3 linked regions of the Drosophila melanogaster genome follow. The protein of the gene in region 1 interacts with the protein of each later gene in a pairwise test. Each region holds a gene or a part of one and is shown in the gene's direction. Other genes may lie near its edges.

The links.
Region 2: the proteins of garz (region 1) and CG14194 interact in a two-hybrid assay, tested with the Drosophila melanogaster proteins (one large-scale study listed by BioGRID).
Region 3: the proteins of garz (region 1) and Golgin84 interact in a two-hybrid assay, tested with the Drosophila melanogaster proteins (one large-scale study listed by BioGRID).

Annotation. Positions count from the first base shown.
Region 1 is NT_033778.4:12,321,444-12,331,580, forward strand, and holds the start of garz (gartenzwerg), read left to right. Parts: upstream 1-4,916; 5' UTR 4,917-5,230; coding exon 5,231-5,332; intron 5,333-5,395; coding exon 5,396-5,594; intron 5,595-5,649; coding exon 5,650-6,635; intron 6,636-6,696; coding exon 6,697-7,677; intron 7,678-7,747; coding exon 7,748-7,956; intron 7,957-8,020; coding exon 8,021-8,247; intron 8,248-8,306; coding exon 8,307-9,537; intron 9,538-9,594; coding exon 9,595-10,137. Other genes in the region: mIF3 (mitochondrial translation initiation factor 3), read left to right, coding at 1-207, 269-659; CG8841 (uncharacterized protein), read right to left, coding at 1,874-3,144, 3,215-4,457.
Region 2 is NC_004354.4:19,191,173-19,201,309, forward strand, and holds CG14194 (uncharacterized protein), read left to right. Parts: upstream 1-2,382; 5' UTR 2,383-2,659; coding exon 2,660-2,697; intron 2,698-2,775; coding exon 2,776-2,846; intron 2,847-3,251; coding exon 3,252-3,826; intron 3,827-3,886; coding exon 3,887-4,279; 3' UTR 4,280-4,865; downstream 4,866-10,137. Other genes in the region: CG7914 (uncharacterized protein), read right to left, coding at 1,329-2,276; CG7990 (uncharacterized protein), read right to left, coding at 6,811-6,971, 7,059-7,277, 7,345-7,609, 8,101-8,292.
Region 3 is NT_033777.3:24,352,954-24,363,090, reverse strand, and holds Golgin84 (Golgin-84), read left to right. Parts: upstream 1-5,152; 5' UTR 5,153-5,214; coding exon 5,215-6,550; intron 6,551-6,605; coding exon 6,606-6,820; 3' UTR 6,821-7,021; downstream 7,022-10,137. Other genes in the region: CG33339 (uncharacterized protein), read right to left, coding at 25-154, 217-333, 382-564, 620-691, 750-794, 850-1,244; CG5762 (uncharacterized protein), read left to right, coding at 1,540-1,953, 2,012-2,200; CG18528 (uncharacterized protein), read left to right, coding at 3,025-3,213, 3,532-3,837, 3,894-4,880; CG6454 (uncharacterized protein), read right to left, coding at 7,313-7,375, 7,438-7,710, 7,767-8,153, 8,211-8,298, 8,352-9,473, 9,568-9,907. UniProt on the Drosophila melanogaster protein: May be involved in maintaining Golgi structure and in intra-Golgi transport.

The DNA of each region.
Region 1 (10,137 bases):
AAAGCCGGTGGGTGGAAGCCCAGGAGACAGTAGAACGAGGGATACACGGAGTCTAAAGGCAAGTGTCCAGAAGATCACCCTGATCCAACAGAACCAGTCAATTAGCATAACCACTTTGGAGGAGGCCCAAAAGCTGGCCAAGCGACGGGATCTGCACCTGTTGCGATTGGAGCAAACAGATGCTAAAACAGGAAGAGCCATGTTCAAGTGGGTATATATGGTTATCATCGGGGCCTGGTCATTGTTATGAAGTTGCTATACTTTGCAGACTAGTCACAGCTGCTGAAATGCTGTCGGATGATGCGGAGCAGTCGAGATCAGCGAGCGAAAAAGTTAAGGATAAGAAAACGGAGAAATCCCTTACCATTGGTGCGCGCATCACAGAGCACGATCTCTCCTCCAGACTCAAGAACATTGTGAAGTGGCTGGGCAAGCGACACGAGGTTCGCATCCTTATCCAGGGCAATGCCAGTGGATCGGACGAGAGCAGCGCCGAGCGCATAGTAAAGGCCATCGAACAGACCATTAAGGAACCACAACTAATTGGCAGAATAGTGCAAAGGCGCAGCAAGAGCGCGTTTATCAAATTCTCGATTATTCCAGTAGCTCCGCCACCAGTGCCCGCATCCACTGCCACTTCCAATACAATCCAGTCGTGACAACTACCGCTGCTGCCTTCGGTGCTCATGGATCGGCCCAATGTTGCGGCAAGCAAACAAAACTTCGGCCTTAGAATATCCACCCGCCATTTCTCGGAGCGGGTGGAAGAGGAAGGCGAAAAGCCCGTAGAGATCACAACCGCATCCATTGTCACCACTTCGGTGCTGCTTCTATTGTTTTTCTTCAAATACTTCTACTGGCATCAGCATTTGGTCAAACTATTGGAGGATCGAGAGCAAGCAGAACGACTGAAGAAGCGTAAAAGAAAGGATGAAGTCCTTTCTCTCCACCGTGAACGCAACCTACAAGAATGTAAAATCGATTGATATGAAACTGCTTTTTAGTAACTGTCATTTGGCTCTATATTTGGCCATTCTTATAAATTAAAATACAAGATTCAATTCGTTTTATGAAATTTATTTATTATTTATTACTTATCTTGGGTTCTGCTCTATATTTCGTAAATGATTTATATAAACTGACTTGTATAGGTGTCATAAGTTTAGTTTGTGTATATAGTTTATAAGCACACGTAGACAGTAAATTAATACACTTTCTCAATTCTATCATTAATGTCTATATTTAATTAAGTTTACAAAGCAGTTCATTGGACTCAACTAAAGTTTCCTAATCATTACAAGAGAACGTAAAGCTTTTTATGGTGTCAATAGGTGCAGTTACAAATTTGTTTGGATAAAGCGAATCGTTTGTAGAGTGGCTGAGTGAAAGTAATTTATTCTTGGTATTTGCACCTTAAATACATACATAAGTAAAAACAGGAAATTTTTAAATTATTAAAATATAAAATAAATAAAACCATGCAATAAAATATACGGCACAAGGAACATTTTCTGTCACAGATTACAAAAACATGAGTTGTTTAATAATTTAGTCATTAACTAAAATAAAAACACTTTGTGCTTATACTGTTTTTTAGAACACTCTTCAAAACAAATTAGGAAAGCAATTAAATATCAATGCTAAAAGCCGATAACAAATCTGTTGAATGGATCTCAATGCCACATCGTAACTGATAAGCCTCATTTTTTTTGTTGCCAATAAGCAAAATTGTGGGAAAGGTAGTTCATTACACACTGATTCTTCACAAAAACATTTGGAATGAAATATGTACTAAATAAATTAACTACAGTAAATGCCAAAGCGTGTAAGCTACGATTGCGCTGCTGGTGTAGCTGGGAGTCCACTTACTGACCTAGACGCGCTGAATCTCGAAGAGCTTGACCTCCGTATCGTACCAGATGGCAGGCTCCACGTTGCGCAGGTAGATGACACCCCAGATGTAGGTGCGGAACCATGCCGTTGTGCCCGCATTGGCCTGGTACTTTCGGATGAGAATGGGATGCGGCACTGGGAGCAGTCCCACTAACGTTCCGTGTTGCAGAAACTTGAGGATCTCCGACTCGTCGGTCAGTCCTTTGTCAATGCAGATCTTCTCCACCTGGGGCACTAGGACCTGAAGCAGTCGCATGATGGTCTGCAGCGGCAGCTTGGAGCGCCAGGAGACGATCCACTCGGGCGTGGGCGTCCAACGATCGCTCTCGCCAGGCACCATGCGAATGCTGGCCCTGTGGGCCACCGACAAGCGGGACAATTCCGTGGGTGAGGTGGACTTGCGTTCGTCAGTTGGCGTCGAAGCGGCTGATCTGTCGTAGGGCACAATGTCTGTAGAATCCTCCACCTGAGGCTTGTCATTTGGATGCGCCTGCTCCCGCTCCGTCATCTGAGTAATGCCCGGGGTGTCCAACAAGGACGTTTTCAGTGTTCCTGGCTCGGCTGGCTGCGCCGTGAGAACGTCCGACTGCAGCTCCCCCGCCTGAGATCGCTCATGAGACTCTGTCTCCGATTCGAGATCCTCTTCCGCCTTGGGCTCTTCATTAATTATCTCCTCCTCGTCCTCATCCTCGTCTTCTTCGTTGTACTCTTCTGGCACGTGGGCCGAGGGCAGTTCCTGGGACACAGCTGGCGTTCTTCGCTGTGGTACCCGCGGCAAGTTAAACTTTCCACCTGTTTTACGGCCACTCAGGCACTTGGCTATGCCAGCCATATCGGTCGGGAGATTTGCCATGGCATGGAACACATGACGCTTTCGAATTATGGTGTAGACTAGATTCGAGTTGCCATCGAACTGATACTGTATAATGTTATTGAAGATCTCCAGCAGGAAAAACACCAAATGATGATTGCTGGGTGCCGATAGCAGAAACCAGGGTGTGCTAAAAGCCTCCAGGAGATGCAACATCTTTACACTAGCCACCATCGAGAGGGTTTTCAGATATGGTGAGACATTTACCAGAATGGTCAGCAGACAATCGAAAAGCGGCTGCAGCCTCTGGTGGCCAGTGGCTATTATTTTGTGGAACACAGTGATGAGTAAGTCCGCATGGGTTCCAGTAAACACAGGTATATCCATGGGCACCGTGGCGGAGTATGCTTTGTTAAGCCGAACCCCAAAGTTTCGCTCACCTATCAATAAACATTTATTTAAGTGTAAGTGCACTGATTCCACGAACAAAACATATGACATATGACTCACCCGATAGGAGCAACAGTATGAATACTCCAATATGCATCAAGCCCACTCGAGATTGATCCGCTCGGGAGTAGTTTAGGTGATACAGAATGGGAATCAGGATGTCCAGAACATCGGAGCTCTTTAGCACAAAATACAGAAACTTTTTGTTGTAGTCGCATATTTTCCAAAACAAAATAAGCAGCTCCTGGTGGCAATGAAGTCGCTTTGTGGAATTGGGCAAATAGTTCTGGACCAGTGGGTTGTTCAGCAGCCTGGTTATGCCCTTGAGCACAAAGTGAAAGTCCTCGTCGCGGTGAACCCTCGAAAGATAGTTAATGAACAAGTTGTCGCCGCAATTGCCCTCGTCGTAGGACGCCTGTCCGGGTTGTGTGAGTTGCTGCTGCACCACCATATCGTGATCCAAGGTGACAATGAGCAGTTGAAGGCACGCTTCCACCAGGGGCTCTGTGGTGTCTGCAAACAGCAGGTGATTGTAGGGCACGCCGAAGCCCACCGGATCGTAGGAGCACACGGTGTTCAGAAACGAGGTGAACAGCGGCAGGGCATGGCGATTGTCGGCCGAGGTGAAATATGCTATCCACTTGTTGGGCTCCTCGGACTGCTGCGGCGATCGGTACATGGGCTCCGAGAAGCAGGTGAGTAATAGCTTCAGCAACTCCGTGCGCCTGCGCTCCATGTGGGCGTTGTGGGGCGGTGACTGGGCGAAACCCACGCCCGCTTCCCAAATGTACTCGCAGCTATCGATGTTCGCCAACTCCTCGGCCTTCTCGGGGCCCGCACGCCGCGTGGCCGTAACCGTGAAGTCGGGACAGAAAAGAAGGTCGCAGGTGGCATTGAGCAGTGACTGAGCCAACGGCATGGTCTTGTCCTGCGATGGCAGGCTGCTCCAGAAGAAGTCGCGCCACTTTTCGTCCTCGAAAATGTACGGCAGACACCGGACGAGCAGCCGCACGCAGTTCAAAACGCACTGCTGCTCCGCCTGCGTGCGACAACTGCTGTCTACCGCCTGGGCAAGCTTTTCCACCGCCTTGTAGCATAAGGTGGCCAGGTTGGCTGGATTCTCGTTCCGTATCTGGCGAATCTCGCTCGAGGTGACCAGCGCGAACACATCCTCCAGCGTCGTCTGGTGGCCCTGCCAGAACTGCTCCCAGAACTGCTCGTCGCTGGGGTCGATCTTCTGGTTCTTCTGCGTCAGCTGCACAATCGCCTTGCGAAAGTTCAACTTGGAGTCCGTGTTTCCCATATTGTTCGGCCTGTGGGCTGCTTTGGTATCGCTGAGTCCTGTAAATCCACCTGCCCCGTGCTCGATCGCCTCAGTGCAAGTGTGCGCAGTAGTCTGGAACAGGAATGCTTTGCATTTAATGCGATTCTTTTTCAAAAATCGAACGATTCCAATTAGAAATTCGCCTACGCACCAAATGCCAGTGTAACTTAGTGGTGGGTGTAACGCTCACGACTGAAGATGCGTGCGTGACTGATTATGCTCACCTGTTTTGGCCCTCATATTCAAATATCAATTTGATTAAATCAATTTGATCGACAGCTTGGCAACATATTTTATTTTAAAAACAAGGTTATATTTTTTTTATATACGCTTGCAGCTGTATTTCAATTTAATCTATTGAAATTTCCGCATCGAGTTGGCATCTACAGCTGTGCCAGTGCTGCGAAGCGACGAACTGCCGCGCCGGTGTTGGAAGACGCTTGTGCAAAATATTCGGACTGCACACAAGAACATAAACGACACGTAAACGTCACCAAAAATTAGCAGCTTACCAGTTCGATTAGTTAGGATTAGTGAGAGATGCCCAACTAGGCAGCACGCCCAGATTCGTCCAGGCAGCGTGAGTGTGCGAGTGGGCAAGTGGCGAGTGCCAAAACATATGCGAAGGTCGTCGGGAAGGGAGGAGGAGCTGCCCTGCCCCACGAAAACTGCAATTTTCAGCGCTAGCCCTGGAACTGGAAGCCAACTAGCTGCAGTCGTAGAGACACCGCAACGGAGGACACGCGGACACCATGGCGCTTCCAGGCAACGGCATCTACGTGGTGCGGGGCGAAATGGCCACCCTGATGACGGCGATGCGACGTGGAACGCGTTGGAATGCCACCGCCTACGTGGTAAATAGTGCCCCTAATGCTCACTGCGAATAGAAAGTATATGGCCCTTTTGCACATCCACAGGACGACGAGAATGACTCGCTGCTGAAGCTGTTCATTGACCTCAAGCATGAGCTAAATCGGATCGAGGACCTGCGTCAGATCGAGCCTCAGGTCTTCCTGGCTCCGTTTCTTGAGGTGATTCGCACGGCGGACGCCACGGGTCCGTTGACTAGTCTAGCCTTGGCCTCGGTTAACAAATTATTGTCTTACGGGCTAATAGGTATTATGATTTAGTGCTTACCCTCTGCATTTGCTCATTCTGTACCTATCCACAGATCCCACGTCTCCAAATCTGGCTGACATTGTGGAGCGCATTGCCGATGCTGTGACACATGCCCGCTTTATGGGCACCGATCAGTCCTCGGATGGTGTCACCTTTATGCGAGTGATTGAGGTGCTGCACACGCTTATCCGCAGTCCCGAAGGAGCCGCCGTCAGCAATGTGTCCATGTGCGAGGTGATGCTCAGCTGCTTCAAGATCTCCTTCGAGCCGAGGCTGAGTGAACTGCTTCGTCGCTCGGCGGAAAAATCGCTCAAGGACATGGTGCTGCTCTTCTTCATGCGCCTTCCCCAGTTCGCCGAAGAGCGAAGTGACACCATGCTCCAGAAGCGATTTACTATCGGCGATGCTGCCAGCGGAGCTACCCAAGAAAAACTAAAGCGTAAGACGGTTGCCCAAGCCCAGACAGCACCCAGGAAATCGTCAGCAGTGGAGGAACCGCCTCAAACACCGCAGTCTGCCAACCTGACGGTGCCAGGGCACTTGAAGGCACCCATATTGGCCACCACACCCGCCAGTCCAGCGGGAAACATATTGGACATGCAGGGCAAGATTACGCAGACACCAACAACAACGGCGAGCACGGGGGAAGATGAAACCACTGTCCCGGAGACTCCTGTTATTCAAGTGGAGTCGACTGAATCGGAGCCCTTGCTGGACGGCGAAACGGGTGAAGCAACCAGCACCCTGGCCGAGGCAAATAGTAGCGAGTACATCAACTCGGTGGGCGTCCGTTTTACACAGCAGTCCACCGATCACGATGTAACATCACTATCCCCTTATGGCCTGCCCTTCATCCAGGAGTTGTTCCGATTCCTCATAATCCTCTGCAATCCTCTGGATAAGCAGAACTCGGATAGCATGATGCACACGGGTCTTAGTCTACTTACTGTAGCTTTTGAAGTCGCAGCCGATAATATTGGAAAGTATGAGGGCTTGCTGGAGCTGGTTAAGGACGACTTATGCAGAAACTTAATATCGGTAAGGGACTCTTAATTGCTTCGTTAGTTATTTCTGACCTAACTCTTTCCTTTCCCTACAGCTTCTCAGCTCAGAGCGGCTTAGCATCTTTGCCGCCGATTTGCAGCTCTGTTTTTTGCTTTTCGAGTCTCTCCGCGGACATCTCAAGTTTCAGCTGGAAGCCTACCTTAGAAAATTGAGCGAGATTATTGCTAGCGATAATCCCAAGACGCCCTACGAAATGCGAGAACTCGCTCTGGACAATCTACTGCAGTTGTGGCGCATTCCCGGCTTCGTCACGGAATTGTATATCAACTACGATTGTGACTTGTACTGCACGGATATGTTTGAAAGTTTGACAAACCTACTGAGCAAGTATACGCTGTCAGCAACGAATGCAGTTTATAGCACCCACATTATCTCAATGGACACCCTGTTAAGTGTGATAGACAGTATCGAGCGAAATTGTGCCGCGAGCAAGAATAGCAGCAACAACAGAGAGTCCTTGCCAGAAGCTGCCCCAGCAACAGGTGGCAGCCGCCATTCTCGCCACAACAGCGGATTGGAGGGAATCGTAATTGATTCTGGCAATAGTGTAGCTGCAGAAGAGAAAGTGGAGAACATCGCAAGCTTTATAAATGCGAGCTCACATCGACTACGACTACAATCTGGCGGAGAGGGAGTGGGAATAACCAGTGAACAGCTGGCCAAGGTCAAACAGAAGAAGCGTCTGCTATCCCAAGGCACAGAGCGATTTAATCAGCGTCCAGAGAAAGGAATCCAGTATCTGCAAGAACACGGCATCCTAAATGCCGAGCTTGATCCCATGCAGGTGGCCCTGTTCCTTCGAGAAAATCCCGGGCTCGATAAAAAAATGATTGGCGAATATATCTCGAAAAAGAAAAACGTCGACTCTAAGATTCTAATTAATTTTGTGGACTCGTTTGATTTCACTGGTCTTCGAGTGGATCAAGCATTGCGTCTTTATCTGGAGACCTTCAGATTGCCCGGAGAGGCTCCATTGATCTTTTTGGTGCTGGAACACTTTTCTGATCATTGGCATGTGAGTATACACATCTACTAAAATACTTGCAGTCTCTGATATTAATCATGTATGTATCCCACCAATATAGAAACAAAACCAAGATCCGTTTGCCAACGTAGACGCTGCTTTTCGCTTGGCCTATGCCATCATCATGCTGAACATGGATCAGCACAACTCGAACGCGAAGCGTTTAAATGTTCCAATGACGCTCGAGGACTTCACTAAGAATTTGCGTGGTCTAAACGGTGGCGAAGATTTCGATCAAGAAATGCTGGCTCAAGTCTTTAATGCAATCAAGTAAGCTTTAGTACATATAGCGTCACTCTCATTTGCTTATATTTCCGATTATTAATTATTTAAGGAACGAAGAGATCGTTATGCCAGCAGAGCAAACGGGTCTGGTGCGTGAAAATTATCAATGGAAAGTACTGCTTCGACGAGGAGACACGCACGATGGACATTTTCACTATGTGCATGACGCATCATACGACGTGGAGATCTTCAATATTGTGTGGGGTGCTTCTCTGAGCGCCCTAAGCTTTATGTTTGATAAAAGCACTGAAACGGGCTACCAAAGAACTCTAGCAGGTACGTACATAAACATCTAATAATTACCATTCACATCTCACATTACGATTACATTTCAGGTTTCAGCAAATCCGCTGCCATATCGGCGCACTATAATCTGCATTCGGACTTCGATGCCCTCGTTTTAACTCTCTGCAAATTCACAACGCTGCTGAGCAGCGTAGAACAGCATGAGCCCGCTCCGGCGAACAATGAAACCCAGCAAGCTGTGAACTTTGGATTGAACGGAAAGGCTCAGGCTGCCATGCGAACGGTGTTTCTATTGGTTCACGACTACGGCGATTGCTTAAGAGAGAGCTGGAAACACATTTTGGACCTATATCTGCAGCTTTTCCGTCTAAAGTTGCTGCCAAAATCATTGATCGAAGTGGAAGACTTTTGTGAGGCGAACGGAAAGGCCATGTTAATCCTGGAAAAGCCCCGCGAGAAGCAGGAATCGGGACTATTTTCCAGCCTGTACTCATTTATCAGCTCGGAGGGTCAGCGAGAACCAACGTACGAGGAGCAGGACTTCATCAAACTGGGACGGAAGTGCATTAAGGAGTGCCAGCTGGATCAAATGCTGCAGGAATCAAAGTTTGTGCAACTAGAGTCGCTGCAGGAGTTGCTTAAATGCGTTCTAGCGCTACTGAAGGCTCCTCAGGGGCACAAATCCATTGGCCTGCCGTACGCCGAAGATCAAACTGTTTTCTGGATGGAATTTTTGGTCAAGATAGTTGTTCATAACCGGGATCGCATGATACCGCTGTGGCCAGCAGTTCGAGACCAAATGTACCTACTGCTTATGGGCAGTGCCTCCTGTGGATACGACTACCTACTCAACCGATGCATTGTAGCGGTCCTAAAACTAGCTATCTATCTGATGCGAAACGAAGAACTGTGTCCGATCGTATTGCAATCGCTCAAGATGCTTTTAATGCTTAAGCCAGCCTTGTTGCTGCGCATTTCTAAACAGATTTCCATTGGTATCTATGAGCTGCTCAAGACGTCGGCCCAAAATATTCATTCCGAGCAGGACTGGCAGATTATTTTCAATCTACTTGAATGCGTGGGAGCCGGTGCTGTGCCGCCCAATTATGATGATGCCCAGCTGCCATTGCCGCCCAACGGAAGTGCAAAGTCTGATGGCGCTATAAGTGGCGAAGAGGACGCAACTGCCGTGCCAGAGCGTGGTTACACTTCGGATTCGGAGATCACGAAAGCATCTGCAGCACCTGCAGTCTCCAGTCCAAGTGCTGAGAACTGGATTCTGGTCAATAACAAGGACAGTGAATTGACTACGGCCTCTAGGTGAGATTCTTCACTCATTAACCTTTCATATCTAATACAACAAAGTTGCTTTTGCAGACCACAATCTCCGCCTAGCCTGAGTGCTCCTCCAGTAAATACGCTTGTGTACAATTGCCAGCTACTAGACCACGCTCCGTTTGCTCTTTTCAAGTGCTGGGATTCGCTGGCGTTTATCGTGCGCAGTGTGGCACACATCACGCCTTACAATTTTGAAGCCTGCGTTCGCTGCATCCGCATCTTTGTGGAGGCTTGTCGGGATGGAGGTATACGCCAGCGGCGAAAGCTGGAATCGGCGGCTAAGCAGAAAAGTTCCAAGAAGCGCAGCGAACGCAAACCGGGCATGGCTTCCTCCGCCTCGAGTAGTAATCTTACTCTTCTGACGGGCGACCCGTCCGACAACCAGATAAACGGAAATGCGGCAGAGCAGGAGGACCTGGCCCAGCGCTACGAACAGTTGTCCATTCAACTGCTGGACCTGATGTATACGTTGTACACGCGAACTGCCCAAATCTTCCGATGGTGGGCGGAAGAAGGATGCACAGTGCCGCAGTCGGCAGCTTTGTGGTCACCGGGCTGGTGTCCATTGCTTCAGGGAATCGC
Region 2 (10,137 bases), on another chromosome or scaffold:
AAAATATCATCCACTTGGTATGACTTGAATTAGATTGGATCACTAATAGTCAAATGGAATCATAACCATGTTGTGGACACAGGAGGTCAAATAAAAAGATGACCATAGAGAATGTTTAATGGCAATTGGATTCATAATGTTTCCTTTCGATTCATCCAGTGAATAACCAGACGCTCAATTGTATTAATTACAGCGAAAACCAGTCGGCTTTTTTAAAGACAATTAAATCCCGATCGATACATTTGGTATGAGAATTGCAACTGCAATGCTCAGATTTTAACAAAGTAAATGATTTGCCGACAGCGAAATGGATTGAAGAGCCACCTGGATGGCCAAAACCATATGTTCATTTAGCAGCGATAAGTATAGATGCCCTATAACCAATTAAAAGTAGCAAGTGTGGGCAAAACAGTAGAAGTAGTTGGAGTTACCTGTATTACTGATGATGAAGAAGTGAACTCCTCCTCCTTTATGGAAGTACACATTCCATTTTCGGTACACTCAAATGCTTAATTGGAAGTATAGAAAACATGTAAAAGTTTCAAATGCCAACTAGAGAGAATGCTATAGTCAAGTTCCCCGACTATCAGATACCCTTTACTCAGCTAGTGTGAATGCGAACGCGAAATTTCTGAATTTTTCTGGTATATCGATAGATATTGGGGAATAAAAATTGTTCAAAAGTGTGGGCGTGGCAGTTATGGCCGCTTTAGGGCGTTAGACTGGGTGTGGCAAAAAAAAAATTGTAAATCGATAGAAATTTACACGACTAATAAAATTATTAAAAAATATCCAAAAAAAATTTCAAAAATGTGGGCGCGGCAGGTTTGGGCGGTTTTAGGGCGTTAGAGTGGGCGTGCCAAAGTTTTTTTTAAATCGATAGAAACTTACACGACTTATAAAATAATTTAAAAATATTTCAAAAATGTGGGCGTGGCAGTTTTGGGCGTTCGAGTGGACGTAGCAAAACGTTGTTTGCAAGTCGATAGAAATTAATGAAGACTAATCAAAATGTGAAAAAATATCAACACATTTATTAAAAGTGTGGTCGTGGCAGTTTTGTGCGGTTTGTGGGCGTTAGAGTGGGCGTGATAGCCTTCTAGCATTTATAGTACCTAAGATCTCGACGTTCATACGGACAGACGGACATGGCCAGAACAACTCGGCTATTGATCCAGATCTAGAATATATGTATATCTTCTGTCTGTTACATACTTTTCAACGAATCTAGGGTATAAAAAATATAAAACCCTCGGTATAACCAGTACGATCACAAATTCATTAACAATATTCAAATATTTATAAGCAACTACAGTTTTTCCCGGCATTTACAACATATAAATGTTTGCCGGATCTACGTCCAATGATTGTGTTGCTATTTGGGCGATGTTCTTTTGAAAACTTGAATCTCCAGCCACGATGAGGACACGCTGTCCGGGAATCGCGGGATTGAGGTGGGTGGCCAGTTCGGTGGCATCTAATCGGGACACCTTTGCCGTCTCCTTGTAGCGTAGATTGTCCCGGAGCTGAGGGCACTGCTGGGCACAGTGGCCCGCCTCCTGGCAAGCGGAGGAGTCACACTGCTGATGCGGCAGGTAGAGGCAGCTCCTGTAGTTCCAGAACTGGGCGAACTCGAGCATCTCCTCGCGGAAGTAGACATGCAGCAGGTCGTGAGCGCACACCAAATGCCACAGGCGACTCATATCCTCCTCGTTGTCCAGCACCTGCCGAACCAGCGGCAGAGTGGGTGCAATAGCAACTCCCTGGGCGATAATATAGATGCACTTGGCCGGCTGCGGTTCGTGTACGTATTGCCCGATGGGACCACGGAATTCCAGCAGATCGTCGGGCTGTACGGCTTGCAGGTGCCGAGACATTGGCCCCTCCGGCTGCAGCTTCACCAGGATACGGAACTCTTTGGCCACAAAGTCGCTCCAATAGGGCGAATACGGACGCAGCAGGGAGCCGACGCGCAGCATCACATGGTGGCCGGGCGGGATGTCAAGCACCGTGTCCACCGCTCCATCGCCGTCCCCCTCCTCTGCTGCATGAGCAAAGTGCAGGAGCAGCAACTGTCCATTGGGTCCCAGCGCTTCCCGCCGCAACAGGCGGAACTTCGTGTAGCTCAGGATCACGTTGCGTTTGCCAGCCAGCAGGACGCGTTTGCTTGGCCGTGGCTTGTTGTCGAGGATGCAGTTGGTGCAGCCATTGCCGCAGCAGTCTGAATCCCGCAGCTGGTCCTCGTTTTCCTTCAAATCTTCCAAATAAGATAACATTTTCCTGTGCCTATCGAGGCTATCGATAGCAGGCTAGCGTAGCCGGAAATCTGGCGAATTGTAGCCAGACATCTGGCTAGTCCTTAGTCAAGCCAATCGCCAGAGCAGGCAAGAGTTATCGATATCGAATCTCGGGACAGAAATGCCAGTCAAAAAAGTGTGTAAATAAAACAAAGAACAGAATATCTACAGGGAAAGGGGTGAAAGATCGGCGCCAGGCGTAGAGTACTAACTGCCCCCGCCCCCCCACTCCATCATAACACACAGCCTTGTTCGGGCGAAGATCGCTTCGTGGAGCGGACGCGGTGCGGCGGGTGCCCACGAGCAACTAGTGTCCAGGTACCAAGTGTCCAGTGACATAGCTCTATGGTGTCCTCAGCAACATGAATCTGGAATCTCTGTTCCGCGACTTCAATCCCTGGTGAGAAGCCTCCGACTGCGGACGACCGGATCACATGGGTTCCCAATCTAAAACATAATCGACCATGTTCCCTTTCAGCAAGTTCATCGTCCACTGCAGCCTGTTCATCTTTGTCACGCTCTTCGCCTTGCGCCTCGACAACTACATTGGTGGGTACTTTTCTGTGGCAGTTCTGGAATACACAACGTCACCCAGAATTAAAATAGCACGGGGATGCAAGAAAATACAATCATATAACAATACAAGCATATACGACCCATACACAAATATGTGTACGGTGCACCATCGCTTCTTCTAGAGAATAGTCCAGATTTATTGTATACAAGGGTTAGCAAGCAGATCATGAGATTGGATATAGCAATATCGAAGAAATCGTCTGACCATAGAGGATCATCCAAATTTGGTCACTTAACGAGGATATTAGTTCTCTCGCTATTTTAAATAACTTATCTAAGCTAAATATTTAGATTTTTAATTACTGAACAAGATTTATTGTAGGGCATTAACCTTATAATTGGCCTAGTAGCCTAGTCTAATCGAATGCCTTATCCCAGATTGGCCCTACTGGGCGATTTTCACACCGCTATGGATATGGAAATGCACCGCCATCCTGGGCGCAATCGTAGGAGCCATTGTGTGGTGTCGGTATCCGCATTATCGTCTCGAGGGCGATGCCTACACGCAGTTCAAAGCGATGCTCATCTCACTGGCCCTGCACCTGATCCTGCTGATGTTTGAGCTGCTGGCCTGCGATAAGCTGACCTCGGACCGTCACTTGTGGGTGCTGGTCTTCATTCCGCTGATCTTCGGCTCGGTGGTTAGTGTGGGCGCCTGTGTCTGGGCCGTCAAGCACGATCGCTCCTTCGAGCTGGAGCTCTTCCTGGCGGTCAACGCGCTTCAGTTTGTTTCACTGCCGCTAAAGCTGGATCGCTTTGTCTACTGGAACTGGGACGTAGTGTTTGTGCCCATGTGGATCGTCATATGCCTGAGCCTGGTCAGCGTATTGTATAACATCATCTTCTGTGGCATCATGATGCGTACGCCGGAGGTCTCGCTGCAGCAGAAGAAGGCGGCATTAAACGCAGCGGTGGGCAACATCTGCACGGTGCTCCCACTGCTCTGCTTTCAGGTGAGACCTCATCTAGTCCCTCCAAAAGATTGTGCATCGCTAACCCATCTATTCCGCCAGGTGGTCATCTGCGACAAGCTGGACGGCGAGCTTAAGTTCCCGTACATCGTGGTCTTCTCACCGCTGCTCGTCTCTATTCTGGCGCTAATAGTTCTTAGCTCCTCGGCAAAGGGCGGCAACATGTGGTGGTTCGGCATCCGCAAGTCTTTCAGCCAGTTCCTGTTGTCCGCGATGCCGTTCCTGCAGGAGTACGGCAACATCAGCTATCACCCGGAAACCCACAGCAATGCTGCACAGTCCATGCCGCTGGACGCAGCGTCCTCCTCGACGAGCATGGCGGCCAGCGAGCAGCTGCACGAGTTCCACAAGCACGACAAGAAGAGCAAGAAGGGGGCCAAGAATGACATTCTCAAGCCGGTGGTTCCGTTCGTCAGCATCGATCTGCCGGACTAGATATAGACGGCCAGTACAGCACAGGAGCAGTACAGGAGCAACAGTAAAACAGCAACATTTACAATAAATCGCAAGAACCGCGTAGACTTAAGGACAGCCTCTTTGCACGCGCACAAGGAGACGCCGCACACCTTTGTTCAGGTGTTTATGTTAGGCATTGTTAAGCATACCCATACCCACTTACACACTCACGTCTCCGTCGTAGCTTTTAGACTTGTACTGAATTTTAATTGTAAGACAAACGCTAACACCGCCCACGAACCATGTCCAACCAACCAACCAACCAACCAAGCACATCGCACCCACCATGCTCCCTTCCACGCATCCGCCTGCATATGATAGCACATATAGCACATACATGCATACAGGACCTGACCACCACACGCTTTTGTCCAGACCCGAATCGGACTCCAACTTGACCACAAATTGAACAGCGCCGCATTCGGAATTTTGACTCGTGTGCTAGTATTATATGTAAAACATCTCTCACACCTTGAGAAGCCCACTTATGTGTAATGACCTACTATAAAGTGTAAATAATTAACAGAGTACGTGAAAACGAGAAATATACTTAAGTGCTTCCATCAAAATGAAAAGACGATGATGAAATGGTTCGAAATTCGTGTGAGTTGTATTTATCTTTATTCAATTAGGAAGCTACAAAGTTTACATATGTATTTCATAGTTAAGTTTTGCATTTCATTTTTAATTAATTCTCTTACGTTGTGTCGCCTAAAAAGTTATGCAAAGGTAAAAAGTTGCATTTTAAAAAGTGACCATCCATTTGCCGGACAAAATAATTGAAGATTAGCCGGTGAGCGGTATATATAAAGCGCATATATATATATATATATGAATATATGAATATAGTCTGCAACCGGATCGGATGCGACTGGAAGTACATATTCTTGGGGGTGTGGGAAAGAGAGAGTGAGGCACATAATCGGAAATGGGGAATCGAAATGGAGCGGGACAGAGTTATACATTAGTATAGATATAGTTAAAGTGGGCTAAACGCAGGCCGTGTAAGCATTAACAATAATTCAAATACAATATATATCTGATCGATCGCGAGGTGCAACTGGCAACTTAACTATTGCATAACATATCGCATGAGTGGGCGTGAGCTTGCTTGCATTTGTTAATCTGTATAACATTTTTTTTTTATAGAGTGTCCGTTTGTATTTGGTTTTTTGTGTGAGAATTAACAATTGTTTCATTGGCTTAGCTACATAAATACGTTGCTCGTTTTCGGGAACATACGGGGTTATTACCTAAGACGTCGATCTCCTGCAAATATAATGCACAATCGCAATCATAATTAAGGTTAGCAATAGCACGTACTACTTATCGAATAAAACCTTCCGCCTGAACCTGCTGTGTACATATGGCACAAAGTTGGCCAAGTAGCGATATCAATTTGAACTCTTCTCGATTTACACTAAGTACTCTTGTGTAGAAGAAAAAAAAACAAAAAAAAAACACCTACGCAACTCCTTTGCTGCAAAATATATTGATCCTAATCTGGTTTGCAATTCGGTTACCTATGATGGGCCTCTAGTTTTCACCGGATTGCTCCGTCTTTCGATTTTTATTTCACTATTAAAGTTGGCTAAGAACAATTGTTTACTTGGCTACATTTGCTTATACCACTGACCTTCTGACCCCGTGAGCACCAGAAGCCGCACCTCCACGTCCATTCGGATTATTCAATCCGATCCACGATCAGTGAGGGATTCTGAAACTATGGGCATGAGTTAGCTAGCTATCAACTATCCGGGAAATATCATTTGCCATCACTGCTCGGATGGAATCTGTGGAGGTCCTGGTTCGTTGCCCGCAGCAAAGTCGCACACTTAATGTCTATTGTCTGATTACCGTCTATTAGAATCGTGTCCTTGTTCCTTTTATGTTTGTTTGTTTTTCTTTTGTGGTTGGGGGCCAATAGGGCCTGTCCCAAGGAGGCTATTTCCCGCTGCTCGTTATCATCTTGTATAAACGATATGTACTAAGTGGTAAGTAATGCGACTTCTATTTATTTTACTTTACTTTACTGCCTAACAAATGAAACTGCTCGCACCTGGCTTGGCTCCTTGCATTCCATTCGAAATTGACATGAGATCTGGCGAGCTGCGATCCATTTGGTTTGGTTTTGGTTTTGGGTGCACTTAATCCCTAGGTAACTTATTTCACGTATTTAGAATGTGTACATAGAACGGTATGCCCTCTAATCTGGCAAAATTCTTTACATACTTGTTGTTAAATTCAATAGCTATATTAATCATGGAACTATGGAACATTTATCTCTGGATTTTGGTTTGGTTTCGCTTTCGGTTTAGATTGATACATAAGTGTAAGTGTAAAGAGAATCGAAGAATTAGAAGAAGGCTAAATTTGCTATGGTTGATCGGTATGGAAGCGCTTAGTTTTAAAGTTGAAGAAGTTCGTTAATTGTACGTTTCGCACGGGAATTACACGCACACGGTTCACTGGAGGAGTGGCGTGCTGGGGGCATCTAGTCCTGGTCGAATCTAGTCCAGTTTCGGCCGGTTGCTCAAATACTGGGCAAGATTCTCGCGGGGTCCCTGCACGATCATCATGAACTGCGATGGGAAGTCCCAGATGATGGTGAAGTGGAAAAGCATGTTGGCAATGGCGATCAAGTACTCGAAGAACGCGAACCAACTGAATGCTGTCAAGAGATGTGGGAATAGAGATGTGGGAGATTCATTATCTGTTTCGGGGTGGAAAATGTGAAACTAAGAGATTTGAAACGCACCCAAGTCGTGACAGTAGAAGCGATGTTTGGCAAAGAACACCAGCAGGCCGACGGTGCTCAGGATGGAGACGGCGAACAGGATCTTCTTCCACTTGATGGAGAGGAGCTGCTTTTCGCTCAGTGCCTGTCCGGCATTGAGGATGCCGTTCAGCTTGATGGTGGCCAGCATGTAACACAGCGAGCAGACCATGAACGTGATGAATATGCGCTCGTGAACGGCTGGAAGAGAGAGAGCAGACGGATCAGAGGGATCAGATGTACGATTGGGGGGCTGGGCAGGACCTACGGTAGTTCTCGCGATTCGATATATAGGTGACGCCGCCCAGGGACGCGATCTCGATGCAATTGAGCACCAGGATCAGCGTGATGAGCAGGCTCGTCTGAGGCACCTGGGCGGGACTGATCCGACGCAGCTGCGAGCGGTAGTAGTTCTTGTAGACAAAGGCGATGGGGATTCGCGGTCCGATGTGGAGCGCGATGCTGAAGCGCCAGAAGTAGCGCTGCGGACTGACGCCGGTAATTGCACTTATCGAGGGTATAATGTTGTAGACCTGGTAACGAATGCCATACATAATTAATAACATTAATCTGGAGACTGAAGATATGGTGGGAGATGCTCTTGAATATGGACGGACGGGTTACCCTTGAAGTGAATGCTCTCTATACTTGCAAGGAAAATGAATTATGGCCACTAATAATCAAAATATATATTAATAACATAAAAAAATCAGATATGTATAAATCTATTTGAGTTATATATATACCCAAATAGGAATATATTTCACTGGTGAAATTTATTGTAATTAAAATTAAATAAATGACCGCTGGTGAAAATAAAAACCGCCATGCGTGGAGCAATTGTGAGCGAATCGTTTGGAAAAGCGGATTTGCGTGTCTCCAATCTCGGCGGGATTCCCGCAGGGATGACAGTGATTTATTGGCCACGGGCGACGCGCCGGAGCCCTGCCCAAAACATTCATCATTCATCAGCATCATCCTGGCCACTGAATACCCTTGGATCGCCCGGTGCCCATTTACTCACGCGGCAATGTGTCTCGTGGACATCGTCGTACTGGAAGACGTAGGCGGTCACGAAGCACGTGAAGAGCGTCACCAGCGGCAGCAGGGCGGTCACCACGCACAGTTCATGGAAGCTAGCCAAGTAGTGGATGGCAACCTGCTGCTCCTGCGGCTCCCTCGCATCCGCCTGCTTGGAGCTAATCGTTGTGTTGATCTGCAAGGAGTTGCAAGGAATGGAGGCCATTAGGATCGAGCGGAGTTCAAGCAAAACCACTGCGCACTATACTTGGGATGTGCGAAATGCCACATAATAACATGTGATGGAGAGTATTTGCAACATATAGCTTTTCGTTATCAATTAAATGAATTAATTAATATTAAATTGATAGTTAAAATCCACTCATTGAGTTATTAACGTATAGGTAGTAATCAGTATTAGGGTTTTTCGAGTTATCATTGAAATTAAATATTTCCCAGGACAATGTTTGCTTATGTGGCATCGTTCCAGCCCAGAACCGCAGTGGTTTCGCCTCTTAAATGGAGGAGTGGAGAATGGAATGGGATGGCAGCCCTTACCTGGCCATAGTTGGTGGTCGAGTGTTTCGTTTTGGTTAATGCACAACAACGATAAAGCGCTAAAAAAAAAATAAATAAAGGTAAAAATAGAAATGAAAACCAAACAGAAGGCGTGTGAATAAATCAATAAACAAAAGACGAACGATGGGGCGCAGCGAATTAAGGCGGAAACTATGCGATCCGGCTGAATAGTGAATGCGGTTCGCCTGGCATCCCGAACTGGATGAGCCGGAGTTATAAATAAACAAGTCCTTGAGTTCTTGGGCAGACAAGGGGAGTAGGGGGCGGGGGCAGGATATGAATGATAGCCTGGGGGGGTGGCAAGGACACTCTCTCCCCCTTTCTCACTCTCTCTCTTGCTCTTCCTCTCTTTATCGTTCTCTGGCGCTGCGAAGCAGCAAAGGATTAAGGACCAAAAATAGACGAGCCTCGCCTGACGTAACCATTATTACCAACGGCAGCTGGCCAAAATTAATTAGCTCAAGTTAATGGGAAATTGGCCGGGCGTCAGAAATGAAATTAAATATGTGCTGCGATTGAATCGGGACACCGGAAGCGAGCAGCTCGAAGCTCGCCAAGAAACTGGGCCAAAGGTGGGTGGTTGGGTGGTTGGGTGGTTCGCAAGGACATGGCGAAATCGAATAAATGATTAAAACGAGAAACAAACAAACAAGCGCCGCCTGTGTAAATACACGCATTTCGAAAATTAGGCAAGCCAGCGAGAAAAACTAAATAAATGCGAAAACGTGTAGCAGAAATGCACGGAGAATATTTTTCATTAGCTCAATATTTTCCAAACTTCTAGAACTTAGCTGGGTTTACAAATCAAGTATTTGCAGTTCAAAAAGATTCATCCGTTATTTCATGCAGTTTACGATACATTTACAGGGATTCTCAAATATCAATTCTATTCTGTATGGCATTATATGTACTTATTGGTTATCCAATAAACTTTTGAGTTTCAGCAAGTTAGCCATTTGTGGAACACCTCTATTCCTGTAAGTGGTAAGCTTTCTTTCGGCTTTAAAGAGAGAATTGTGGTTTCGAAAGGAATATTATTAGCTTGATTACTTAGCCTTACGGAATAACTGGTGGAGTAAAAATATGTACTTGTGATTGTTTTTAAATCCACTGATTCTGTGTGCTAAATTTGGTTTCATTTTATTTTGTTGCAAAAATGGCTTTTAGCATTTCTGGATTTCTGGACTAATTTGAAAATATTTTCGGTGTGAAAAGTGTTGTGGGATGGTGGGAGGGGGTAGCAGGGGGGTGGCATGCGCGCTGACTGCGGAAAATTACAACAAACGAGCCGAGGAGGAGCATGGAAAATAAAACGTTCGCCCACACACACACACACATGTACACACGGACACACACAGTTGTTGTGCGCGTTTACAACGCTTTTTGCTGAGCAGCGGGGTGAAATGGGTGATGGTGGAGGATGATAAGGAGGAGGAGGGTTTGGGGGTGTCACTAAGCGTGC
Region 3 (10,137 bases), on another chromosome or scaffold:
AGTTCGATTCTCGGCTCACTATGTTTACAATTTTGCACCACTTTGGGTAAGGAAGTCTAGAACATTGTAGGGACAACTTGGGGCGTAGAATCGGGCACAGTCCTGGTTATCCATGCGATGCCTGTACTTATCATCGGCCACCTCTTCGGGAACTCTGAAGTATAGTTTATTATGGTTTTAATGGCATTATATATGACAATGAATTATTTTACTTACGTCAGCACAATTCGCATTAGATCCTCCATGAGGAATCCCTGATCTTGACCTGCATTTAACTTGGCCCTTAGTTCACACATGGCTCTCTTGATACAAGACCTTAGGTCCAACTGAAAACTATTAATAGGTTCTTTTAAATTATTCTGTGGATCACTTAAGACTTACACTTTTCCCATGGCCTCGAGTTGATCGAAAATCTCTCTGCGTTCTCTGTATCCACGATGTAACTTCCAACTAGGCACTTGATCCCAGGATTCATAAACTTCTTCCTCCGGTGGATATGAGTTTCTCTGATTTGCAGACAAGCTCCATGGGCTATGATAGAATGAGGCCCTATTCAATGAGGGTCTGAAATATTTTAAAGCCACTTTAGGGTATTTCAAAATGATTAATCTTATATTACCTCGATGTATAAAACTCTTTCCTGCGATTAGTGGGCGAGGATGAATGCCATGAAGCTTGGGGAAATGAATCCCTAGTAGGACATTGAACTTGTAATTATTACCTCTTGAAAGTAATTCATAATAATTTACCTCGATGTTGCTTGGTAGAATGGAACTCTATGATTGTTAGCAGGACTAAAACTTAAAATTTCGAATTTATTTCTTTAACGGTTAAATATATATACTTTACCTTTCGTAATGAGCATTTCTATATGGATCCGCATAGTATGGATAATAGCTTTCAGGTCTTTTGCTATATGACCAATCATACCGGCGTTTTGGCGTTGACATTGGCTTTGGCTTCATCTTCTTTAGGATCTTGGGCTGCCAACCCTCAATGGTGTCGGGAACCGGAACGTACATATCAAACTCCAAGCTGTACTGAAGGCCACTTGGTCGTCCGCCCAAAATTAGTTTGGTTAGGGCGGCGGTCAGGAGAAGGGATGCCTTGTCGGGAAAAACCAAAGCACGCACCCGTCGCGATAGAATGCGATTCTCCAAAGAGGAGCCCACCAGATGGGTTTGATTCCCAATAGCCGCCCTAATGGCTCCGATCAACAGAAGTACCAAAATCGTAGACCTCATGCCGCCACTCTGAGAACTCAACTGATCTGTGTGACAGATACTAGTCGTGGAAAATTAACGCCAGGTGAACAGTGCTAATTAAGAAAGGTGAGCCGACTTACAGCATCAGGTGTGCCTTGATTCGTACGCACCTTACATGTCACCTCGATTTGTTGGGAGCGGATTCAGTTCGTTACACGCCGCCTCTTTGGAAGCAGGCTACATTTTGGCATTCCAATACTAAAACTTACACAATTCCCTAATTCTTTTAATAAAATTTCTAAAACTGTAAAAAAAAAAAAAATATCTTCCGAGAATGGTTAACATCCACGGTGGCACTCGGATGATGGTGAACCGTTGCATCGAGCTCCTCCGTGCGCGGATCGAATGCGCCTCAACGCGTCACATTGCCAGGCGTTCCCAGCGGCCCAGAGTGGGCAGCCAATACCTGCCAGACGATCAGATACTCAGGGAGCGGGAGAAAGCGGATGTGTACAAGAAGAACAAGCGACGCTCCATGTGGGAGCAGGACGAGGGCCACGGACGCATCTCGGTCGGGGACGATCAGGAACGCTTCGATAACGAGCAGTACCATCCGCGCGAACTGGAGAAGCGCAAGTACGAGTGCACCTGGGTTAATTTCCCGGACAGTGTGGCGACCAAACGAAATCGTAGACGGGACTTTCTGGAGTCGATGGAAACTGAGGCTCCTCGACGCCGCCGAGCCCAGGTGCCTATTTTTTGGAATATTTCAAACAAAAATCAATTTGAAATAATCTTTTTTGCAGGAAGAAAGACCGAGTACGGCAAAGCCATGTGACGACGAGGCCCGTGCCTTTATCAACCAATGGGACACCAATGCGGCGATGATCCAACGCAACAAATTTGCTCGTGCCACCGATAGCTGTCCACCACCCATTGTATCTCTCCGGTTGTCAAACGCCTACAGCACCCGAAAACGTCAGTTCTTATTCTAAACCGTTTATATTTGACAGTTGTATTCGCATCAGAAATTCTAGCAATCGCTCATTCTTGTAGCCTGATCAAATTGATAGTGTCGAAGGCATCAGATTTTAAAGCGTCCAAATCCGAAAATGTAACTGTAAAAATGTAACACATCTGCACTAGATGTGATATTTGTTACTAATAAAATATTTAAGTGTATTTGTCTTCGTCAAAAGCGGAGAGGGAATTTGAGAAGTTCATCACAGCTTGGCTAAAATTGGTCTCAGAGACTTAATAAGAACTATTTCTTACAGCTTTTTACCAATGCTTATTATTTTTATCAACTTTTGGTGAAATAAAAAAAAAAATTTTTTTTTTTCTATTTTCACATTTTTTATAAGGGGTAACAACGTCTATTTTTTTCAAAAAACGTCAAAAAAATAAAATTACCAAATTTGAACTCCAACCAATTAAGGGCTTAATTACAAGTTCATCGAGATATGTCATTCGATATTTTCCAACGCTTTTGACAAAAAATCTGATAATTATTTGACAAAAAATTACAAAAACTACTTCTGTCTAATTGAATAAAAGTGAATTCTTTCTATCCAAATAACAAAGAAATAAATAAAAAACGTTCCCATGTTTCAAATCCCATATTTCGGTCAAAATGGTTTGTGTCGGGACTGGAGATTTACCCAAGCTTACCACCGCTCCATAATTGTTTACGCACAATTCTTTAGTATATATCTCCGAGTGGAATGATATATTTTTGTAACGGCCATTCCGCGGTCACACTTAATATCACGTTCAATTGTTTATTATTCGGCGGTTGGGATTTAATTGTTTTTCGGCGATGGCGCTTCTCAGAAACGCGTCCCAGAGCTTCTTGGGCAGTTTCCGGCGCTTTGCCAGCAGCGGATGCACCATCTACAGCCTCAGTTCCGGTCATGTCAAGTGCGGTGTGTCCGTGATCCGTGTCTCCGGGCCGCAAACAAAGAAGGCCCTCCGAGCAATTGTTGCAAACAAAGAATACGAGCCAAAGGCAAGTCAATCGATATAAACGTTTATTATTCCATATATGAGGGGTCGTGACCTGTGCAGTGTATAGTTTTGTTTTCTAGTATCCAAAATATATGTATGCAAATGAAAAGACCTGTTGCTTATTTATATACATTTTGGGAGATGTATCCTGTATAAAAATAAACAAATTTCTCCTAACTTACATATAATTGACTAAATAAATTGAATAATTTCGTGAACTGCTTAATTTGTTATAATTGGCAAGCTGCCAGGTTTTAAGACGAGAGACCTCTATGATAGTGAAACTTATAGTTCCCTTTATAAATACTTTTCCATATAGGCTCGTCAGGCGTATCTGAAATCCTTCTACCATCCCGCCAGCAAAGAGATGATTGACCGTGGGCTCTTACTTTGGTTTCCGGGACCGGCTTCTTTCACTGGCGAGGATTCCTGCGAGTTTCAGGTACACGGGTCCCTGGCAGTCATTGCGGCCATGTTGGATGCTCTGGGAAAAGTGGATGGATTGCGGCCGGCGGAGCCGGGAGAGTTCACAAAGAGAGCGTTCTTTGGTGGCAAACTGGATTTGACAGAGGTGGAGGGATTGGCCGATCTTATCCATGCTGAAACGGAGGCGCAAAGAAAGCAGGTAGACAGTGGACTTAGGGTCTCATAAATTTTGTTTCAAGTCTCTTCTTTCTCCAGGCACTGCTACAAAGCACTGGAGCACTGGCTCGACTCTACGACAACTGGCGCCGTCGACTTATTCGCTGTGCTGCCCATTTGGAGGCCTACATAGACTTCGCCGAAGAGGAGCAAATCGAAGGCGGCATCATCCTGCAACTCGGCAAAGAACTAAAGGCGGTAAAGCGTGAGATTCGCGAGCATTTGAGTGACCAGCGGCAGGGAGAGCTCCTCCGCGACGGAGTCCGCACTGTGATCATTGGAGCACCCAATGTTGGCAAGAGTAGTCTGCTCAATCTCCTCTGCCAGCGATCCGTGTCCATAGTGACGGATCAGGCGGGCACCACAAGGGATATTATAGAAACAATGCACAATTTCGGAGGATACCCGGTGGTATTTTCCGACACAGCCGGATTACGCCGATATACTACGGATAGTATAGAGCAGGAGGGAATGCAGAGAGCCAAGAATTGTCTAGTCCAATCTGATTTGATATTGCTCCTAGCAGAAGCCAAGAACATTGCACAGCTGACGCACGACGACGCAGTTGCTCCGTTTGTAGATAGCTATCTGGGCGAGTTGGATATACCTCTGGACATGTGCTCAGGGAAACGTCTGCAATTGGTGGCCAATAAAACCGACACTTTGACGGATGAGGAGCATCAGCAGCTGGACAAGCTGTCCAACGTGTTAGCCATATCATGCCATAAGCCCGATAAGATGCCCGTGTTTCTGGGATCACTGGAGAAGCAGCTGCAAGAACTGTGCGGAGAACCGCGGGCGGAGAATCCACGCATCACAAACACACGCTACCGTCAGCAACTGGAGCGCTGCATTGAGAACATTGATATTTTTCTACGAGATTACAGACCCGACGTTTACCCGGACATGGCCATAGCCGCCTCCAAGCTGCGCAACTCCGTGCGCTGCATCGAACGCATCACCGGACACATCAGCTGCGAAGATATACTCGACGTGGTCTTCAAGGACTTTTGCATTGGAAAGTGAAGAGATAGTTTATAGTTGTGAGTTGCGAAGATTACACTGCCCATGTTGAGTATTGAATAAAATATTCATTTGTACCCTAGAGTTTTGATAAGCATAATAAATTAACATTTCTGCACGGATAAGAAAGATTGGAATTACATTTATTTCTAAAACCAATCCTTACATTTTCATATAAATATTTTTTTGATCAGAAAAAAGGTTTTTCAAAATTACGTTACTTTTAGAGTGACCTTAACTTTGGAGTTGACCATTCCGCAGTCGATAGCGATATGGGCACACAGTGTGATATTGTTTACGTGTTTTACTCGAAGAGATTTGTTTTTCTTAGAAAAATATGTCATCCTGGATCACAGGACTGGCGGACAAGGCCGAAAACATTTTGAACAAGCTGGACCAAAATGCGGCAACGGCCCTGCAGACAGAGAACGCCACAGGTTCAGCGGATCCCATGCGTAGGAGCATGACGAGCAGCACCCAATCACTGTCCACATCCCTGAAGTCCACTCTGTCGCCAGTGCGGCGCTCGGGGGCCAATAGCTCATCAAGTGTAAAAAGCGATGGCGGGGTCTCCGTGGTCACTAAGGACATGCGCCAAAAGATGACCACGTCGGCCAGTTTCTCCAACAGTCCCGACATATCCGCCAACTCAATGGACACAAATGAATTGGCTGCCTTCAAGATCGCCCTGAATGAAATCACGGCCGAAAGAGATGAACTGCGTCTGCGCTTGGAAGATCTTAATAACGAAACCGAAAAGTTTGATCTGCATCAACACACCCAGGTGCTGGAAGCTCTGGTTAAAAGTCTGTCCGAAGAGCGGGACAAGGCGGTTCATGACTACAATGAGGCCCAGGCAGCTAACATGGCGTATGTGCACTCCATCTCCGAACTGGAAACCAATCTGGCCAAGTTGCAGCAGGAATACATAAGCGCCGCTCACAAATTGCAAATGCAAACAAAGGAAACGGAGCAGCAGCGCCAGGAGCTTCAGGAATACCGTATCAAGGCTCAGCGAGCTCTGCAAGCAAAGGATTCCCTCATCGCAGAGTTGAAGGCGAAGCCCACGGAGGAGGGCGCAGATCCAAACCTGGTGTCCAAGGACAGTGAAACGCGTTTTCTGCAAATTGAACACGAGTCACTTAAGCAAGAACTAGAGCATGCCAACGAGGAACTGCAAAAGGCGCGCTTGCAGCTGGACGATTACGTTTCCCAGGAAAGACAACGACAGGTGGAACTAAGCTCTGCCCGCCAACGCGAGGAAACACTAGCAAAGGAGTTGCGACAGGCAAGGGAACACAGTGTGACCTCCGAATCCGATCAGCGAGTGCTCACGCAGGAACTGGCCTCACTGCGGCAGCAACTTAGTAACCAAATGGCTGCTGCCGCCACTCGACTCCAGGAGCGGGAGCAGCAGCTTCAGCAGATGCGTCAGCGATTGAGCGAGGAAGCCAACACGGGAGCCAAGAGCGATTACGAGACTCGGCTAAAGGCTTTAACCCAATCACTGGTCGAACGTCAAAGTCTTCTGGAAAGAGTTACGAGTGAGAGAAATGCCCTGCGACTACAGCACGAAAAGGCACAGACGCAGCTACAGCAAAACATGCACTTGGTGGAAATGGAGAGCCAAAGGGGCAGCTCCCGCCATACTATGCTCAACAGCACAGATGATGGTAAGTCTAACATTCTGCGAGTACCAGAAATTACATAAATATGAGTTCTACCTAGTCAAAGCACAATTCCCGCTTCTCATGCATCCAAGTCCATTCGATAATCGTGTGGCACGACGCTTCAAGCGAGCCCTTCGCCAGGCGGACTCCATGGGTATTCGGGTGGGAACGTTTCTGCGTCGCTATCCCATGATGCGGGTCTCTGTGATCGTCTACGTGGCCCTACTACATCTGTGGGTCATGTTTGTGCTGCTCTCCACTACACCAAACTAATCGAATCAAATACATTTAGTTGAGCAATTGTTGTATTTCCATAATATTGTATGTATTGTATTTTACGCGCCAAAATTGGATATCTAGTGGTACGAGTATATGTGTCATGTTTGTGGTTGCAACAATTGTATATATCGATATTATACTTGTGTCTCGCACTCGTTCTAAATTCAATATTCAATAAACATCAACTATGTACAGAAATTGCAATTGATTTAACGCTAAAAACATCCAGCAAACAAGTAACAAGACCGAAAAAATTAGCACTACTAAGTTAGGATTAGAACGATTCCTCACAGTTCAAATATTGCATAAAGAATCCATCTACAGATGCTGTAAAATTGTTAAGTAAACGTGAATTAGTTTAACTTCAGTTTAACTCCAGTTGCTGGGCAGAGCTGATAGTTCTAGCTAAGCGGAAGAAAATAGAGAGTATACGCTTTTGGGACGATTCGCGTAAAACATGCGCTATATGCCCCGCAAGTTTTTATATCAGTCATCGGCATGGTAGCTCACATAGACAGCATCGCCTCCGATGCTAATCAGGCACTGGCCCTAAGAATACAAGATTTCAGTATAAAAACTTTAAGGTAAGTAGATCATTGTGTTTGCCTTACCTGATTCTTGTGCTGATTATCGAACAACATAAGTTCGGTGATGTAAAAAGAGACCATGGCATTTCCGCCCAGCGAAGCGATGTGTGCTCTCACCACAGCCAACAGTTCGGTAATGAAGCCATGGACAAATCCGCTGATGCCACCATTTTCCCGGATCGACGTGCTCTCCCGAATAAAGAAAAAGTTTAGGTTGCCCAAATATTTATCTATACGACCACCAGGTATGAAACTTAGTGGCGTCACATCCACTCCATAACGATCTCGCAGCGGAAACTGTCAAGGAAATATAATATTAATATAAAGACATCATTAATATTTAATGTTCTTACATAACGGCTACGTTGAACAGATCCAACGTTCAATGGCTTAACTCCGGTTGAAGGCAATCCCGAAACGAGATTGTTAAGACGTGATGGTGAAGTTTTTCGCATTTTGAATGAGCTCATTCCGAATGGCGGAATAGCGGTGCTGGTTGGCGTGGGTGTGTCCACCATCTGATCCTCGTCCAGCGGAAATATGTAATCCTCCTCTTGCAGCATTCGTTTTCCGTTTAACTCTGGCTGAGATTGAGTGGCGTGCACCGTGCCATCATGATATCCGTTCTGCTGTTGAGGTGCCTGCTGCTGCTGAGCCGGGCGTCCACGTCCGCGGTACTTCATTCTGTTGGCATCGCTTAGGCCCATGGCCATGCCAGTGACTAGCAATTGAATTTGATCCTGCAGAGAACGAAGTAATTTAATCATTCTTGATCAAAGTCCTAGCATTTTCCTTACCGTCTCTGGCAGATCTAGTCGGAAGCGAAGATCGCAGATAGCACAGGGTATCATAGTGCGTAGCTTGAAGTATATGGTCTGCAACAGTCTGGGAAGGCAAATGTTTTTATGTGCTGATCCCAGTATGAAGTTTAGACCTACCTCTGAAAGTGTTTAGGGAAGCCGTTTACACTTTGGCCCACCTCGAGTCGGGCGCGCCACACTTGTGTGAACATCTGCAGATTCTTAACCGTATCCATTTCCAGCATGCCCGGCACCTGCTGCGTATTTACCACATGGAAGCCCTCCGGCGGATATGGCTCCATTAACAGCGATATGATTTCCAAGTCTTCGATATCGTCCACTTCCAGGACACACAACTCCTTGTTGCCACAGTTCAGATCGATCTCGTTCATCTCCTCTTCATCAGAGTCGTCTGTATCTGATTGTTTATCGCCAGAGGCTCCTGTGGAAGGTACTCCTCCGACATTGGCTGCCAAATCCGGGTCCAAGCTTTTCAGCTGATAGATCTCCTGGTTCCGTTCAAACGTTTCTTGTAATTTCTTCTGCAACTCATTTAGCTTTTGCTTGTCGGTCCACGAGTTGCCTGCCACGATCTTTGGTACCTGCGGCACCGGTAAAGCTGTGAGAAATAGAGCCGTTCCCGTGGCTATCAGCGCTATCATACGCTCGCCGATGGCAACTTGCGTGCGTAGCCCAAAAATGGCATTCATGCCCTTGGCCTTCAGCTTGTTGATCAGCACTCGATGAAGTTCGTACTCCAGGAAGGGCAGACCATCCGATATCTCTTTGGCGTTCAGCTCCGCACGCAGATCTCTTTTGGCGCGCACCACTTGGGCCTGCATGAAGCAACCTCTTCCGGTAACCTGCATAAATTCAGGCACTTCAAGTGTAGCCAGCAGTACATCCGGAACTCTTCCCTTGCGGCACACCGCGCACTTCTTCATCTTCACATTAAACGGAACCGAGCTTAGGTTGTAGGGTATGTGGCAGATGGCACAGGCATTCCGGGGTCCATTGAGTGGGGGCAGTCCGTAACGTTTACCACCCGAACTGTTTCCGGTGCCCAGGGAACCGCTGTCCTTGCCAATGCTCGTATCCCCGGCGGTGCTTCCATTTCCGTCCTCCACGGAATTCGTCATGGCCGCAACGCTGGCGGTTGCTTTTGACATGGTAAAGATATCGGTTTGCGATACAGATCGATTAAACACCATGTTAATCACGGCCGCCGTTCCAGTGGCAGATAAAACGCAGACATCGTCACTAAAAAGCAAAGATAGGGTATTAATTACTCTTATCTTAGCAGGTGGGCACAGGGATTTCAATATAATAGATTATTCGTATTATATATACTCACGATATGGTTGTGGTCTCCGCATAACCTAGCACTACATTACAGCCCAGGGAACGGGCATGCGATCGGATCTCCATTCGCAGCTCCGTCCACCAGCTGTCTCGGACTTCCGGCTCGTCCGGATTGGGCACACGCTCTAGTAGTTTTACGGAACGTGCCGCGACCGTTGCGCCCAAATGAAGAATGAATCCTGTCGGGTATTTTGTCATTGTCAGGAAGGGATACTCCAACATATCCAGACTGTCGGCCGCAGTTCCTGGCTTGGCTCCCACCGTCGGTTGCGTTAAACGCATCATCGCCGTGGCGGCCACCAAACGCTCACTGGCCACACATATGGAGTTTCCTGTGAATTAAAAAGGGTTCCGAAAGTACTATGAGCATTTCATGCGCATTTGGACTTGCATATGTGGTTCTTACACATAGTGATTACATTTATATTTACAGCGGAAAATCTTAGACCCGTATGAAGTGTTGGAGATATGACAGAAAACATTGAAAATATGGGCCAATATAATTTTCAATCAAAACTTGATTATGATAATTAATCAAAATAATTATTATATTTAAAATATA